Drosophila melanogaster: one gene and its partner. The protein of the gene in region 2 interacts with the protein of the main gene of each other region in a pairwise test. Each region holds a gene or a part of one and is shown on either strand. Other genes may lie near its edges.

Region 1 (4,585 bases), 9.8 Mb from region 2:
GCTATCTACTCGCGGTGCTTGCAGTCCAGAAAGAGCTGTGCCTGAGATTGCACGAAGCGGAAGATCTCGAGCAGCATTTCGTTGGAGGTCTTGCAGTTGCCCTGCTGTGTCTCGAAAAAGGTTCCAGGACCAGCTCCGCCCACCGAACGCTTGCCCCAATCCGGCGAGAAGGTCAACTATATAGAGGAAAATAAAATGAGACATCAGAAAGGGATATCCTGCAGCGGGATATGAATTCACTCACTTGACACTGGACGCAGGCCAGCAGCATGAAGAGCACGGCTGCAATGAGGACTTCGCTCTTGGGATTCATTCTGAGTTCTATGCTGGTCCACTTCGATTCAGCCCGCTTTTATACCCATTGAGCTCGAAGGGAAGACAGCTGGTAAGTAATTAACACAGCACTAGCAAGGATTCTTTCTATAATTGCTTGGATTGGGTCGGAATTTTCAATTCCAGTCGAGAGCGTCATTGAAACAATCTTCTATGTGGAAGCGTTTGTGATTCTCCATGTGTTTATTAGAATTGCGCATATGTTTAATTTTAAATTTAATTATATATTTATTTATATACCATTAAATAAGTTCGTTAAATTAAGCAGTGTATAAGAGTTAAAACAAGATTGCGGCTAAAGCAACTGTTGCAATACATTTGGCGAACAATAAACCATAGGATCCGGATCCGACTGGGGACATGTACAAAAGTATCGTTAAGTGAGTTGTGCGCGCCTGGCAGCTGCGGGTATAGTACAAAAATGCCGTGGGTGTAATACAGAGTTTGATGTTTTAGATTTCTACGCGCGAGAACGAGGCACTCAATTTGTTACAACAAAATCGGTTTGTAAGCAGTTAATATATGTATACGTATATATTAGTAGTAAATAACAATACAAATTACAATAACACATTATTACGTTTTGGCTTAATCGAAACAAACGTTCTGGGCTTAGTTATTGCATTATAAAAACAAATGGCCTGCGAGCCACGATTGGTAATAATCATGAAAACATTCGTCCTTAATTGTTGTCGTTGATCAACAAAATAATATTACAAAAATATATGTAGAAATATATATGTATATATAAGTTATTCGTGTGAATCTGTTGTATATATCTACCTATGTTTCGTGTTTCTGTTTGCATTTTGCATTGTTAGTTGTCAGTTGTAAGATTCTTCGTAGCTATTTGAGAGTGGCGAAGTTTATTCGATTCGTTCGTTGAATGCGCCATGCACCTGGGCAGGTAAGAAATGCACTTCGTTTGGGCTCGTTGACACGTTTTGTGCGGTTACTGGTTTCGGGTTACTGGTTTATCGTCTTCTCAACGGAATTCAAAGCTCAGTCGACGCGTGTTTTTCAAAAAATTTGGTGTTATAATCATTATATGTTGGCTCCTGCTTCCGCTGCGGCATTCAGGAGATTCTCTTCCATTTAGTTCCTTCTACATCAGGCAGCACTTCCTCTTGCCCTTCTTCTTGTAATCCTGCTCGATGAAGGGACGCTCGGCGATCTGGAACTTGCGCACGATCCTCACGAGCTCGTGGAAGGCCTGATCGACGTTGACCCTCAGTTTGGCACTGCACTCGATGTAGGGGATCATCAGGTTGCGGCTGGTGTTCTGCGCCTCCTCCAGGGACACCTGCTGCTGGTGCTTCAGGTCGCACTTGTTACCCACCATCAGCATGGGGAACTCGTCGCGATCCTTGACGCGCAGTATCTGGCGCTGGAACTTGGGGATCTCATCGAAGCTGGAATGATCGTTGAGCGCGAAGACGAGCAGGAATCCCTCGCCGGAGCGCATGTACTGCTCCCGCATGGCACTGAACTCCTCCTGGCCAGCCGTGTCCAAAACTAGGTAAAATATCAGGTTATTATGAATCTGGTAAGGGTAAAGAAAGGAAGCTTACTGTCCAATTTGGCTGGCACATCGTCGATGTTGCACTGCTTCGTGTACGAGTCTTCAATGGTGGGATCGTAGTCCGTGACGAAGTAGCTCTGCAAGATTAGGATTAAAATTATTGTACCGCCAGCTGCCGAGGCCACAAAACTACATATATAAACATTATAAGACTGGGTTTTTTATGTGGGCGGGGTGCGTTTATCATTCCGCCTTTGATTTGTTTACACACGTCACTTTTATCATTCACTATCCACTATGCTCTATATATCTTGGGGAAAAGCTACAGCATATACACGAAAGATGTGCAGATGACGCAAATGACTAAAAATAAATGGAAGCGGGCGGTCATTGTGGTCGTGACCATGGCACAAACTCTCGGGGAATCGATCGGCACACCCAGAAAACTGGGGGCTGCGTCTAACGCAACTCCCTGGTTCTGGGCTCTGACCACTTGATCCCCAATTGGAGATACACACGGGGGTGTGGCCACCGCGATGATGATGCTGCCAATGATGATGATGATGATGATTGTGTTGGTGATGATCTCGGCCCGAAACTATGCACACGCATGTCCAAACACAGACGCACATCACAGTCGCTTGTTGCTTGTTTGTTGCTCTGGCCAAAACAAGGGCCGTCCCCCTGCCACCGCCCCTGTGCGCCATCGCCCCCCACTCCCACATTCAAACGCCCCTGTGGAAAGCGACGTCACCAGGGATTGGGCCGATGCTGGGCGGCTTACCTGGATGAACTGTATCGTTATCGCTGACTTGCCCACGCCGCCGCCGCCGACGACCACCAGTTTGTACGTTTGCATCTGCATTTCCCCGTTTAAATCGACCAGTTGGCCAGCAAAATTATTTTATTTTCCTTCCTCGACAGCAGCAGCGTGACCGTTCTCGGTTAACTGAGAAATCCACACTCGCACTGAGACGGGTGCGCGTCTCTGCTAGACAGTAATATCGATATCAACTATCGCTAGCCAGCAATCGACTTTCGCCCATCACTAAGGCTAAGTCATCAAACGAAAAAAATACAGAAAAATTGGCCAAGGAATAGATAAAATTCTTTAAGTCAAGTTAGCCCACGCGAAAAAGCGAACGGAATAAGCTAAAAAGACATATTTACACGCAGTGTGTTCATAATCGAGTTGCCTTTGCGCCCGTGACCAATAAAACGCAGTGAAAATGGCCTTGAAAGTGCTGGTGGGCCAAAAGCTGATGAACGAGGTGGTGAAGTACAAGCCTCCACCACCCAAAAAGCAGGGCGTTACGTCCGCTGCGGGGGCGGGCGGCATGGAATGGCGGGTGCTGGTGGTGGACAAGCTGGGTATGCGCATGGTGTCCGCCTGCACCAAGATGCACGAAATCAGCGCCGAGGGCATCACCCTGGTTGAGGACATCAACAAGAAGCGCGAGCCGCTGCCCACGATGGACGCGATCTATCTGATTACGCCGTCGGATGAGTCAGTGCGCGGTCTGATACGAGACTTCGAGAACCCAGCGCGGCCCATGTATCGCTATGCCCATGTCTTCTTCACCGAAGTTTGTCCCGAGGAGCTATTCAACGATCTGTGCAAGTCGTGCGCGGCCGGAAAGATCAAGACGCTGAAGGAGATCAACATTGCATTTTTGCCATACGAATGCCAGGTGTTCTCGCTGGACTCGCCGGACACATTCCAATGCCTCTACTCGCCGGCCTTTGCCTCCATTCGGAGCAAGCACATCGAGCGAATTGCCGAGCAAATAGCCACACTGTGCGCTACCCTTGGGGAGTACCCAAATGTGCGCTACCGCAGCGACTGGGACAGGAACATCGATTTGGCCGCGTCGGTGCAGCAGAAGCTGGACGCCTACAAGGCCGACGATGCCACCATGGGCGAGGGCCCCGAGAAGGCACGATCCCAGCTGCTGATCCTGGATCGCGGCTTCGACTGCGTGTCGCCGCTGCTGCACGAGCTCACCCTGCAGGCCATGGCCTACGATTTGCTACCCATCGTCAATGACGTGTATCGCTACACGCCCGGCCCCAACCAGCCGGATAAGGAGGTGCTGCTCGACGAGAACGACGACTTGTGGGTGGAGCTGCGTCACGAGCATATCGCTGTGGTCTCCACCCAGGTGACTCAGAACCTTAAGAAATTCACCGACTCTAAGCGCATGGGCTCGGCTGACAAGTCGTCGATGCGCGATCTCTCGCAGATGATCAAGAAGATGCCGCAGTACCAGAAGGAGCTGTCCAAGTACTCCACCCACTTGCATTTGGCCGAGGACTGCATGAAGTCGTACCAGAACTACGTGGACAAGCTGTGCCGCGTGGAACAGGATCTGGCCATGGGCACGGACGCCGAGGGCGAAAAGATCAAGGATCATATGCGCAACATTGTGCCCATCTTGCTGGACGCCAATGTCTCGAACTACGACAAGGTTCGCATCATTGCCCTGTACGTCATGATCAAGAACGGAATTTCCGAGGAGAACCTGACCAAGCTGTTTACGCATGCCCAGCTGTCGCCGAAGGATCAGGATATGGTGCGTAACCTTAGTTGCTTGGGCATCAATGTCATTGCAGATTCGCGCAAGAAGCAGTACTCGGTGCCGCGCAAGGAGCGCACCACAGAAAGCACCTACCAGATGTCCCGCTGGACACCGGTGATCAAGGACATCATGGAGGATTGCATAGAGGATA
Region 2 (11,071 bases):
AGACTACGTTTTACGGAAATTTCCTCTGAAAGTACGATTAAATGTTGCTTGGTGACAATTTCATTCATCCACTTCCGCCTGTGAATTTCACTAATCTATTATTATCACCAAGTTCAAGTTCGTCGAGAACCAAGTGATTTCTCGTGCTATCAAACACTTTGGCTTTGTATTTAAACTAATTTAATTAAGTTGCAACTAGCGTATTTTCTAAACCACACTCCGAGATGTCTATTATTTTGAGAAAGAGCAAATGAACAATTGCCACGACAATTTCGCTTCAATTATTTGTCTATTGCCTCAGCTCAGCGCCTTAAATTCTTGCGTGCAACTCGAGCAATTAATTAGTGCCAATTAGGCAATCAATTGAGTAAACATAATTAAGCCGGATGTGACTCAGGTGTCTGTAACTCAACGACTGTCTCATACTAAATACAGACAAAGTGAAGCAAAACATGATTCAAAAATGGCATGAACAAAAAAGTTTATTTGAATTATCACTCCATACCGTTTAAATTTAATGTGCCAACTAATTTTCGAATGATTAAGCTAGTCTCAATTCATTTTTATATACTATATAAATATACTATTATAGATATAATATATTTTGTCAGTCTATTTTTAAATAATACAACTTTCAACAAAAGATCACTGAAAATTCAATTAGCAATTATCAGCTACTATGCCCCATTTACCTTCGTGTAGGTATAGTTTTTGGCATGCAGATCCTTGGTTTTCTTGGAGAGATTCCTCAAAGTGGCTCCCGTGCAGGCGCATAGATACTTTAAACTGGCCACCACCTTTCGCTCCGCATTGAGTACCGCGGATGAGACATCCAAGTCGTCATAGGAGTGATACGAACTGTTCCTGCGCGGCTTGGCAGATGCGGATCTAGATCGCCGCTGCTTGGCTTCCTGGTGCTTTTGACACAAATGCGTTGGCTCCACCGGGGTCATGGACTTTTTCCGCTGTCTTGGACAGGTGTGATGGTGATAGTGCCTCTTGGAATCCTTTGCATCCTGCTGCTGCTGCTGCTGCTGCCGCTGCTGGTGGTAGGCGCAGGATTGGCTGGTGGTGTTGTTGTTCACCTGCCGCCAGGCATTGCTAAAGTCCGTGTTATCCAGCGGAGGCATCAGGGCGCGATTATATCCTGTCAGATCCTGCAGCTGATAGGCGCAGGTGTGACTCTTGATCAGAGCGGGCTTCTGCTGGTGCTTTTGGCTATGCGGGCATTTGCAGTTGGCGCGACTTGTGAAATTCTGTAGATTTAAGTTGTTGGGTTTGGTTGGATTTCATTTTTTAATATTATTTTTGGGGGGCGGTGTTAAACTCTGAAGAGTTTGCTTTGTACTTGATCTTGGTCTCGGGCTGTGGTTCATTGATTGACTGCAACCCTCAACCCACTTGAGCTGTCTTCTCAGTTCGTTCACAGAGCCCCTGACCTTGGCTACGATTTGACTCCAAAGGCACACACGACCACAATCGAGTGGATTGTTCAGCTGTTTGATGTTTATGAGCTACTCAACCCAAAAAAAAAAACAAAAAAAACTACAAAAATACCCAAAAATAGAAAAAAAAACAATACACCAAACAAACATACAAACGAAAAGTGTATCTTTGACAAGCGACTTTGTACTTCAAGTGGCGCTCACTACTCACTCATCCGCACCATATTTGGTTAATGGGAAGTCTTTACCCCGCGAATCCCCTATCCCCTGGGGCAGATTTACAGGCAATCTTTGTTTAACCATTTCATATTATATTAGGCGCGTTGTTCATCCCGGCCTATAATCGTAAACAACATCCCAAGTACGACGATTCCGGCCTCCCAATCGGGATGTGTTCAACTTTTACCAGGAAGTTATTACAGCCAACTAGTTTGTTTTCGTTGTTTTCGGGCCATAGTATTTCACGGCTATTGACAGCTGCGCACAGGTTTCGCCAAGGAAATATATTCATCCGAAAATACTCTAGCAATGGATAGGAAAGGAACAGGAAAAGTTTCGAACAATAAACAGGCATTTTTAAAAATCAAGTTCAACACAAAAGTCTTCTAATCATATTTAATAATGTGCTTCTTCCACAACAAATAATATTATTATTAGCTGCATCTTATTTACATTCAAATAATAGGCTAAACTTGAATATTCGCTCATAAAAAAAAGAAAAAATAATATTTTCAATACATTTTATATATTTTTGCTTATAAGAATGATTGTTTAATTATTATCTTTTCTTGAAGAGCATTTCCGCTTCGTTCAATTCCAAAGAAAGCTCCACAATATTTGCCTAGATAAATATTTTCATGCCTGTGGTGTGGAAACTGCGTTGCGCTTTCCTTTTCTCCATCGGTTTTATGGTTTTTACCTCGCCAGAGATGAACTGGCCCAGCCCATTTCATGTAGAGCTTAGCCATAAATTTAGGCCAACACCGACCATTTTGCAATTTTGCTCAATTACAGCCCGTACCGGCTCCATTGCCAATTACATAACTCGTTTCTGGCCAAATTCGTGCGAAGAGAAATGTCATTTGGTCGGTAGGTCTTTAAGCCATCTCTCTCTTGACAACGAAAAGACAAAAACAAATTATTCCAGAGGGGTCAGCGAAGTGGTCGTGCGTGAGGCAAGGGGAAAAAGGTCGGTTCCAGAGGTCCCGAATCTGGAACGTGCCTCGCGTGGCCAAGAGCAACCAGATTATACATATATGATGCCTTGAAATTAAATAAGCGATAAATGCATCGAAGACCAAACCATCAAATACGCATCACGAAAATTAAATCGAGCACAATCAAATACTCCAAATATATTCGAATACCGACCGATAATTGAGGCACGTTCGCCTGGCATGCGTCATTCGGTGGAGAAGGACTAGGATTTTCTTACCCCCAATTAAAGCTCCATAGTCGAGCATGAATAATGCCCATCTGGGTTACGGATACAAATTTATTGGTCGAATTAGTTTTGTGCAATGAACCATAGTCATATGCAAATTTATACTATAAAAAGCAATTATATATCATAAGATCAAGAAATAAAAAATTTTTATTTAAAATACTGTTTGAGCTAAAACTACCAATTGTGAGACTAATTTTAAATGCCTCATTTAATTTGCTTAAATACTCCAAACAATAGAAAAATTTCTAATTCGAAATTTCCCAGCTTAACAATTAAGCTTGAACAGAACTTAGTAATGATTAGCCAGAATATTGCATATTATTTATGATGTAATATTTAGTTAGCACTGCGCTGCTGGCGATAAGAAATATGCTTGCTTATTTCGCAAATATAAGAAAGCTTCTCCAAGTTACACTTTGAACCGAAAACTGATTAGAATAAATCCTTCAAAGCTCCAGGCCAAACAACCCAGACCCATATATGTATGTATGTACATATTCATATATGTTTGTAAATATGCGCAATGCGCATACTTATAGAAATCTTTTTGTTTGAGATTCCTTCGTCTAATCAATATGCACATATATGTATTGCATTCGATTCGTACCAAGCCCCAGAACCTAAATACACTCATTTCATTCACGATTATTATTACAGCGAATGCCAAACGAGACCGAATGAAACAGAACACAACTCGGCGAGGAAATGACGATTTGCATACGGTTGATATTTTACCTTTTGAGTTCGAATGATTCATCAGAAAATACCCAGCCCGTGCAAAAAAAACTGCGGCAGAAATAAAGCTCATTAAGTAATGAAATAATATAGTATTATAATGCCAGACGACGGGCAATTGTCAAACATATTCGTGTTTGTGTATACAAGGCACCCAATTATAAAGAAATAACATCCAAGTATGAGGGGGCGCCTGATTGGTCGGCCCACATCATCATCTGTCTATATATAAAGCAGGTGACCTTTCCTCCAGAAAAGCGTGTGGGTGGCGTTTTCTGCTTTTCCGCCCAGGGGGGGTTTCTCTCAATTACAGATCTTCGCAAAAATAGCCAGAAACCAAAACAAAGGAGAGTCGAACCGCAACATCAAAGCGAAATGGTACTGCATTTGCATTTGGGGTGAATTTATCAACAAACAGCCATACAGCTGAGGTCACAATATTGATAGATTAAAAGTGAAAATACATCTAAGGAAATGGATCAATATTTAAATGATGAAACATGACTCTGAGATAGTAAAATAGTATTCCGTTTGAGATATTCGATTTATAGGTAAAAGTATTGCAATTTGTATCGATGTAAAAACAGTTCTTTGAGAATTTCCTAGTTCTTGGCGGCAATAGATTAGGTGTCCGAAATAAGCAATACATTTCGCTTGTCTTGAAAAATGAAAAGGCATTTATTTTGACCGCAATTGTAGACACAAATCTCTATTTTTAAATCGACGACCCCTGGCACGAGTTTTGTGAATTGCAGCAACAGAAGCAGCGGCAAAAAAAAAACAACGCAAAACAAAATTGAAAACGCCAAGGGAAAAAAACGACTGAAACTAAACACCAGTCTCTCCCCCTTCCCTCTGTCATCCCTGAATGACTGACTGACTAAATGACTGACTGGCTAAATGACTCTGACTGACTGTCAGTTACATGCGACTGCATCCGACGCAGTCAACTTGACAACATTTGCTGCTCCCTCGGTGCACATAAAAAAAAATGAAGGGAATTATGATCAAATTTAATTGCATCGGCCTACTAACACAGGTCCATCAAGATTTTACATCGTTTGTGTTTATGAGAAATAATAGAACAGGCATTACTTGGCATTCGATATTCTATCCCTAATGTCTCCTTTTCGCTATATTACAACATAACGAATATCAACCGATGCCACATCCTGTTGCAATTTTTAATTTCAAAAACCATAATTCATATCCGAATAAAACTTTTATTTAACGTGTATATGTACATATGTATCTGTCTCTACTGCAGAGCAGCTGTCCCGCTCTTTCGGCTATTATCAAACCACATCCGTTGGGCAGCAGCAGAGATGATGTGCAAACAATACAAAAACATATCAACCTAAGCTAAAGTTTGAGCCACTGAGCATAGCTCCCCACGTAAATTATTTTTTTTATGCATTCCCCCATCATTCGCCAGTGGGTAAAGGAAGTGGGGGGCGGAGCTTTTGTTTTGCATACAATGGGAGCTGATAAATGATTTCTAGGGGCACTCCGCATAAATGGATGATAAAGAAACGAAAATATAACTGGGACTGCAACTGAAATGATCTCAAACTGATTCACCTTTAAATTCATAGCTTTAATTCGTTATCTTTCACCTGCGAAACAAATTATATACATCACTTAAGAATACCCTACACCATTTGTTCCCAAGCATAAGTATACCAATTTTGAATGCTTTTTAATTAGCATATAAATTCTCGAAACTCCCAAAACAAAGCTTCTCCAAGCTTGGCAGTTCCCATATGATTCATTTATAACTTGTAAAAAATTCCCGACTTTTATCGATTCCTATTCCTTCCCCACCAAAAGAAGGTGTTTTATTTCTGGACTCCACTTAGGCGTAAAGTTTCCATACCATTGCATTTTTGCCCATAATCATTGTTGACATTTCCTTGTGAATCGACACCAAGACACTACAGTAATCCCTCTCCACACAAAACCAGATCAAGTACACAGCAACTAGTTTTCAGGGTTGAAAATTCTCGGACAAAAAAAGGTGCGCATTATCGATAATTATCCATGTCGTTGATTTAAGGGCGAGGGTCAATAGTAATAAAATTCAAGCCATTAATGTTTTTATCTTATCAGGAGTTTGTTACCGATGTATTGCTTATTGCAGAAATATGATGTACTTGTTTTAAATATATTGTTAAAAAAAAACATTTCAATGTATCAACGTTCGAGTGACCACTGTAAGGGCAGGATAAGAACCAATAGATCTAAAGTGCGCTCCTTTCTAATCCGGCCTGATGGATTGCGTTGTTTTTTTTTACCATTTGAGATTGGCTTTTGTTCCTTGAGAAATGTTGCTGAGATTTCCACGGATGCACTGCTTGGGTTTTCCTATCCGTTATCCTCTTCTCGTCGGTTCGCTTTAATTTACACGTCTCCTTTAATGGCTTCTGGTGTTTTATTTTTACACCCAAGTGCAGTTCAATGGGTGGTGGGGGTGTTGTATAAGTAAAAGGCAAGTAAAATCGATATTCCTGCTGCTCTTTTTTTGTACTGGGCTTCTGTGTTCTGGCCGCTATACCGTTGTTCAGCTTCCTGGGAACGATGAGTCAACGGGACATAGAGAAACACACCCAGTAGCAGTAGAGGTGGGGGGGTTAATATTGGTATTTGTTCTCCGGTTAGTGGTAAGTGGTGAATCCTTGGTCCGCGAAGAAGGGTTCGTTGCACTACGTCTATGCGTCTGCCTGGCAATCTCCTCTTTGCTCTCGTGCTTTAGCACGTCTTCCCTACTATTTATTTGTTTTCACTTTTATCTCTTTTCCTTTTGCTAATGCTGCACTCGCACACACGTAAACGGCAATTTTCGGGATACCGCTTGCATTTTCATTCGCTTGGCTGAAAATCTCAACATGAGATATCCATGTTATTACAAAAACATTATACAAAATTCACATTCGGGGGTTTCTCTACTTGGAAAAGGGGAGCGTAGGGGGCGCAGAGCGTAAAACGCGCGCGAGACACACACACAAAGCTCTCGGTAGAGAGACACGCGACGCAACCGCCGCCAACAACAGTCGAAGACGAACTCTGCCCGCTTAGAACAAACGACCGCCCGAAACCCCATCGTCTGTATCCAACTCTCGCTTACTCTCTCCCACACGCTCTCTCTGTCGGGGATCCACTCTCTGTCATTAAGAACGCAAGCATTTTCGGGGGATGTTCTTACTCGACGGATGTAACTGTAGCATCCCCGTTCTCTCAATTGCACTCTCTCGTTCGCTTTTCTCAGGTACTCAAGTTTTCGACCGTGGGAACTTCTAGCAAAACACCCACTATGGTTTTACACCTTGCGTGAAGGTATATTGGTTGCATCGAACAAGTTCAAAAACACAGTTAACATTAACAATGCATTCCAATATTGGTTCCGAATTTAAAACACCTACATATTCTCACAATTTATAGTCAATAAACTTAAAATAGAACTTTTTCCAGATAAACTGTCAATTTACCATTGAATTGGTAATTGATTTTATTTCTTTTGCACTATGGTAACTTGGCCTTTTAAATCAATTTAAACAAATTTCTTTAAAACTTCTTCCTAGTGACTGTTGACACGCTAAATATAAATAAATAAGTTTCTTAAAATAAATACACGGTATATATATGTCGTATCAGAACAAACATAAAAATCTTACTTGCTCTGGCCATTCGCGCTCTGTTTATGTTTTTTCTGATGAGCAATTGACTGTTGGCTTGTTTGTTTCTAATCAGAACTCTCTCTCAACTCTCTCTGTCAATTTTAGTATTTTTTGGTATATATTTACACTGACCCCCACAATAGCATTTGTCTTCATTATAGCTTCACATTTATCAATGGAATTTATGGGCCTCCTAAACCTGTAGGATTTTATTCCAAATTTTTGATTAATGCCAACAAAGAAATTTAAATAATTTTCTTCCATGTTTTGTTTGGCTTTTTAGGCTATCATTTGACCAACCGTTCAAACATGTGAACTGGAATGACATAATTATGGAAATGGGAATACCTGAGTGTTGTCTGGTATTTGGTAACGATTTAAAGAAAGCTGGCGGGGAAATCAATAAGCAGAAATATTAATAAAACGTGCATTTACGTAAGCGCCAATCAAACGATGCCTGCTGTTTTGTTTGTTGCTTGTAGACATTGGATAAATATTCGAGACCATGAGCACGTCAATTGATCAATTAGCGAATGCAACAAGTTTCAATACAAAAAAAGGCACTGATATTTGTTATGCACTTGGTGATGCTGATAACGAATTTTATATAAAGCTAGAAAAAGAGATCAATTAAAGATTGACCCTCAATGTGCTTCATGATGTTGGTGTCAAAATAATACGGTTTAAAGCTATAGTAAATTTATTTAAAATTATTGCTGTTCTCCCTATCAGAAAGTATGGAGAATAATATTTTAAAACGTAAACGTCATAATATATATTTAGATGAAAAATGTTGTGCTCCAAAACTTTAGTCATACGAAAAAACCGCTCTTGTGTTGTGATCGTGATAATAAATATCACAAAAATTATAAATTAAATTATAAATTATAAATTTCTTTAATTCGATTTTTCGGCACCACTCTAATCAAAATGTTGCAACATATTTTTCATTAACTTAGTCTACGGACTATTTGACCAAATAATTAGCAGACCTGGGCAAAAAGCCTCCACACAAAGTTCGGTGCTCTGCGAGATACTTTCAAAATGACTTTCTATGCATTTCCCTGTTACTTTCTACGCTTGCTATATACTAGAGTACATGAACAAGATAATGGTTTAGCTACTCACCAAACTGTCGGCCACATTTTGACTCATTATAGTCTGCAGCGTTGACGATGGCCAGATGCTGCAATTACTTCAAGGTGCGTGCTGCTCAAAATCTGGTGCGATGCAATTTCCGATGGTGGTGTTGTAGATGCTGATGATAATTGTGATGATGACTGGTATCTGTCGGATACGCGCATTTTGGCTTGGCACAGCTAACGACGAACAATGACTCGAAAGCACACACTCTTTGGGCGGACACGTGTAACGCGTTTACTTATTTATTTTCATTTGGGTTGTGCAATTCACTCGGCCAAGCGGATGTATCTGCAAGATACGCGACCAAACTTGCAATCGGATCGACACAAATTTCAAGTTTTCTTTTCCATTTCGTTACCAAACTGCAAGAAAGCGACAAAGCATTCGGGTGAAAACCATTTCAACTCAATGGAAAGTGCGACAGTAGCAGTAGCCCGTAAATGAAACGGTCAATAAAAGTTGAAAAAAATATACGAAGTTATAAAAAATGAACCACAACCGAACGCGCACACATTGTTGGCATTCCAGAGGCTTAGAAGCCAAGACCGCGGAGACCAAGCGCCATCGAACGCCCAGCAACAACTAACCCGCAAAGTCACTGGAATAATATGAATGCGGTTTGAACGTGGCGCGCAACTGATTTACGATATTCGCTACGGAGCTACAGTGGGACGGGTTTCGAGTGTTTCGGAAAAATCTAATTTTCCGTATTGTATGGCTGCGTTCAAATATGGTGATTTAAGGCCCAACAAATTTATGAATTTTATAATACTAAGCGAAAAACAAAAAAAAACACTATAATGAACTTTAAAAATCTATTACGAAAAATAATTACTCATGTCAAATGTGCTCCTCATGAAGTTCTGCTAATTTCACTGTGCCAATCTACAAAAAAAGACAGCAACTGTGGAGTTGACAGCACCTAATGATGGATTTCTTTTTTACGACTCGTAATCGCAGTTACCCCTTTTTGCTGCGGGGAAAGAGTTGGTCGAAAGATAGCGGCTCGACTCGAATTATTTAGCTAACGCAAAACAAAAACATTAATGAAAGTTTTTTTCAGCACAGCCGTTGTTTTTGCTAGTTTATGCTTCTACCTGTTCGCATTGGATCGCTGACTTGGTATGTATGTACATATGTGTTCTGAATAGTTCCCGCAGACAAACATCTACATGAAAAAATGCGGAAAATGTTTGGTCAGACAATACCTGGCCCAAAGAAAAGAAAACAAACGAAGAACAGGTAGACGAATATCGTCAACACTAAGAGGCTTGCCAAACGCACAGGGAGAATCGGAGAAAGATACAAAATCTGAGAGATTCACATTCAGAGAACGCAGAACCGATCAGATGTTTAATGTTTCCATGTTTAAAAGAGAGAACGAACCTTTAAATCAAGCGAATATCGTAGGCATGGGTTAGATTTGTACCCTCAAAAACCATTAAGAAGAAAATATTCATTATATTTGACTGATGAAAAACTATTTTATATGCGATTTCAACGGGATATTTGTTTCCAACTGGCTCAAAAATGATGTGCATTAGGGTCGCATATTAATATGCTCAATTAAAAAATGTTAATAACTTTTTCAAATAGAGCTAAAGACTCACATTTCAGTGTCATTAGGGGCAAGTCTGTTTGGCCAAACACAAACAAAACTTGAAAAATCATCAACCTTGATTACCTTGAGCTCTGAGTGAACCTTCTTAAAGCTCCATAACAACAAGAAGATGATGAGTTGCACAGAGAAAAATACGTAGGTCATTGTTTCTCATTTTTAATGAGTCAAAAAAAGTTCGAAAAATGTAGATATATATATTATTTCAAGTAGGCGTAAGATAAACTTGTTTCTTGTATTTAAAAAAAAAAGTTACACTTTTTAAGAAACTTTTTTCTTCATGTGCGGCTTTACTGCCAAGCTAAGCTCTTAATTATAAGTTGCTCCCCTCTATTGCCATATCCCTATACACGTCTTTTTCCCCCTTAGTATGTTCTTAGAACCAGAAGACATCATCAATTCATTAGCAATTTAAATTTTAAACAAAAGTTAAAACAAGCTGCTCGACGTCAGCGTTTCGCTCTTTACTCTCTTCCAATTTTGCCGTTCTGTCAGCTTGGCGAGCTTTTTGCGAAATTGGTTACTGTTTTTTATTTCGCGTTTCGCCTTTTTGTTTCTTACACCTCCACACAGCTGAGCTGGGGGATCCATAAACGATATAAAAATATTTATGTATGTTCCAGACCCAGTGATATATGGGCTATATTGGGTTGTTGTTGCTGGGCTTTATTGACAAATGGAAATTCTGAATCGGTGGCTTATTTACTCGACGACCACTGTATTTTTGGCCTGGCCTAAACTGAATTAACCCACTCTCTTTCTCTGCTACTCTCATTCGCTCTCCCTTTTGCGATTGCAATCATGATCTCACTCGGTTGTAGTTCTCAGTGTTTTTTTGCCTTACGATATCAAATTGCTTTATTAGCCAAAAATAAAAGGCCAAAGTCGTTTTTAATTCGTCGTTTTTGTTGTTCTGTTTTCCTATTTTTGTTCGATACCATTTCTGTGATTTCGTCTTTGTCACTTTAACACTCGTTTCGAACGTGTTTTTCGGCGGTAACACGCAAGC

The links.
Region 1: the proteins of Rgl (region 2) and Ras64B interact in a two-hybrid assay, tested with the Drosophila melanogaster proteins (one study listed by BioGRID).

The regions. Positions count from the first base shown.
Region 1 is NT_037436.4:4,137,314-4,141,898, reverse strand, and holds Ras64B (Ras oncogene at 64B), read right to left. Parts: upstream 2,824-4,585; 5' UTR 2,721-2,823; coding exon 2,640-2,720; intron 1,993-2,639; coding exon 1,905-1,992; intron 1,849-1,904; coding exon 1,439-1,848; 3' UTR 501-1,438; downstream 1-500. Other genes in the region: Akh (adipokinetic hormone), read right to left, coding at 6-176, 245-313; Rop (Ras opposite), read left to right, coding at 3,085-4,585. UniProt on the Drosophila melanogaster protein: May be involved in endocytic processes and/or other transport pathways mediated by vesicle trafficking. May interact functionally with ROP protein. Ras proteins bind GDP/GTP and possess intrinsic GTPase activity.
Region 2 is NT_037436.4:13,913,270-13,924,340, forward strand, and holds the start of Rgl (Ral guanine nucleotide dissociation stimulator-like), read right to left. Parts: upstream 6,697-11,071; 5' UTR 5,925-6,696; coding exon 5,922-5,924; intron 1,257-5,921; coding exon 693-1,256; intron 1-692.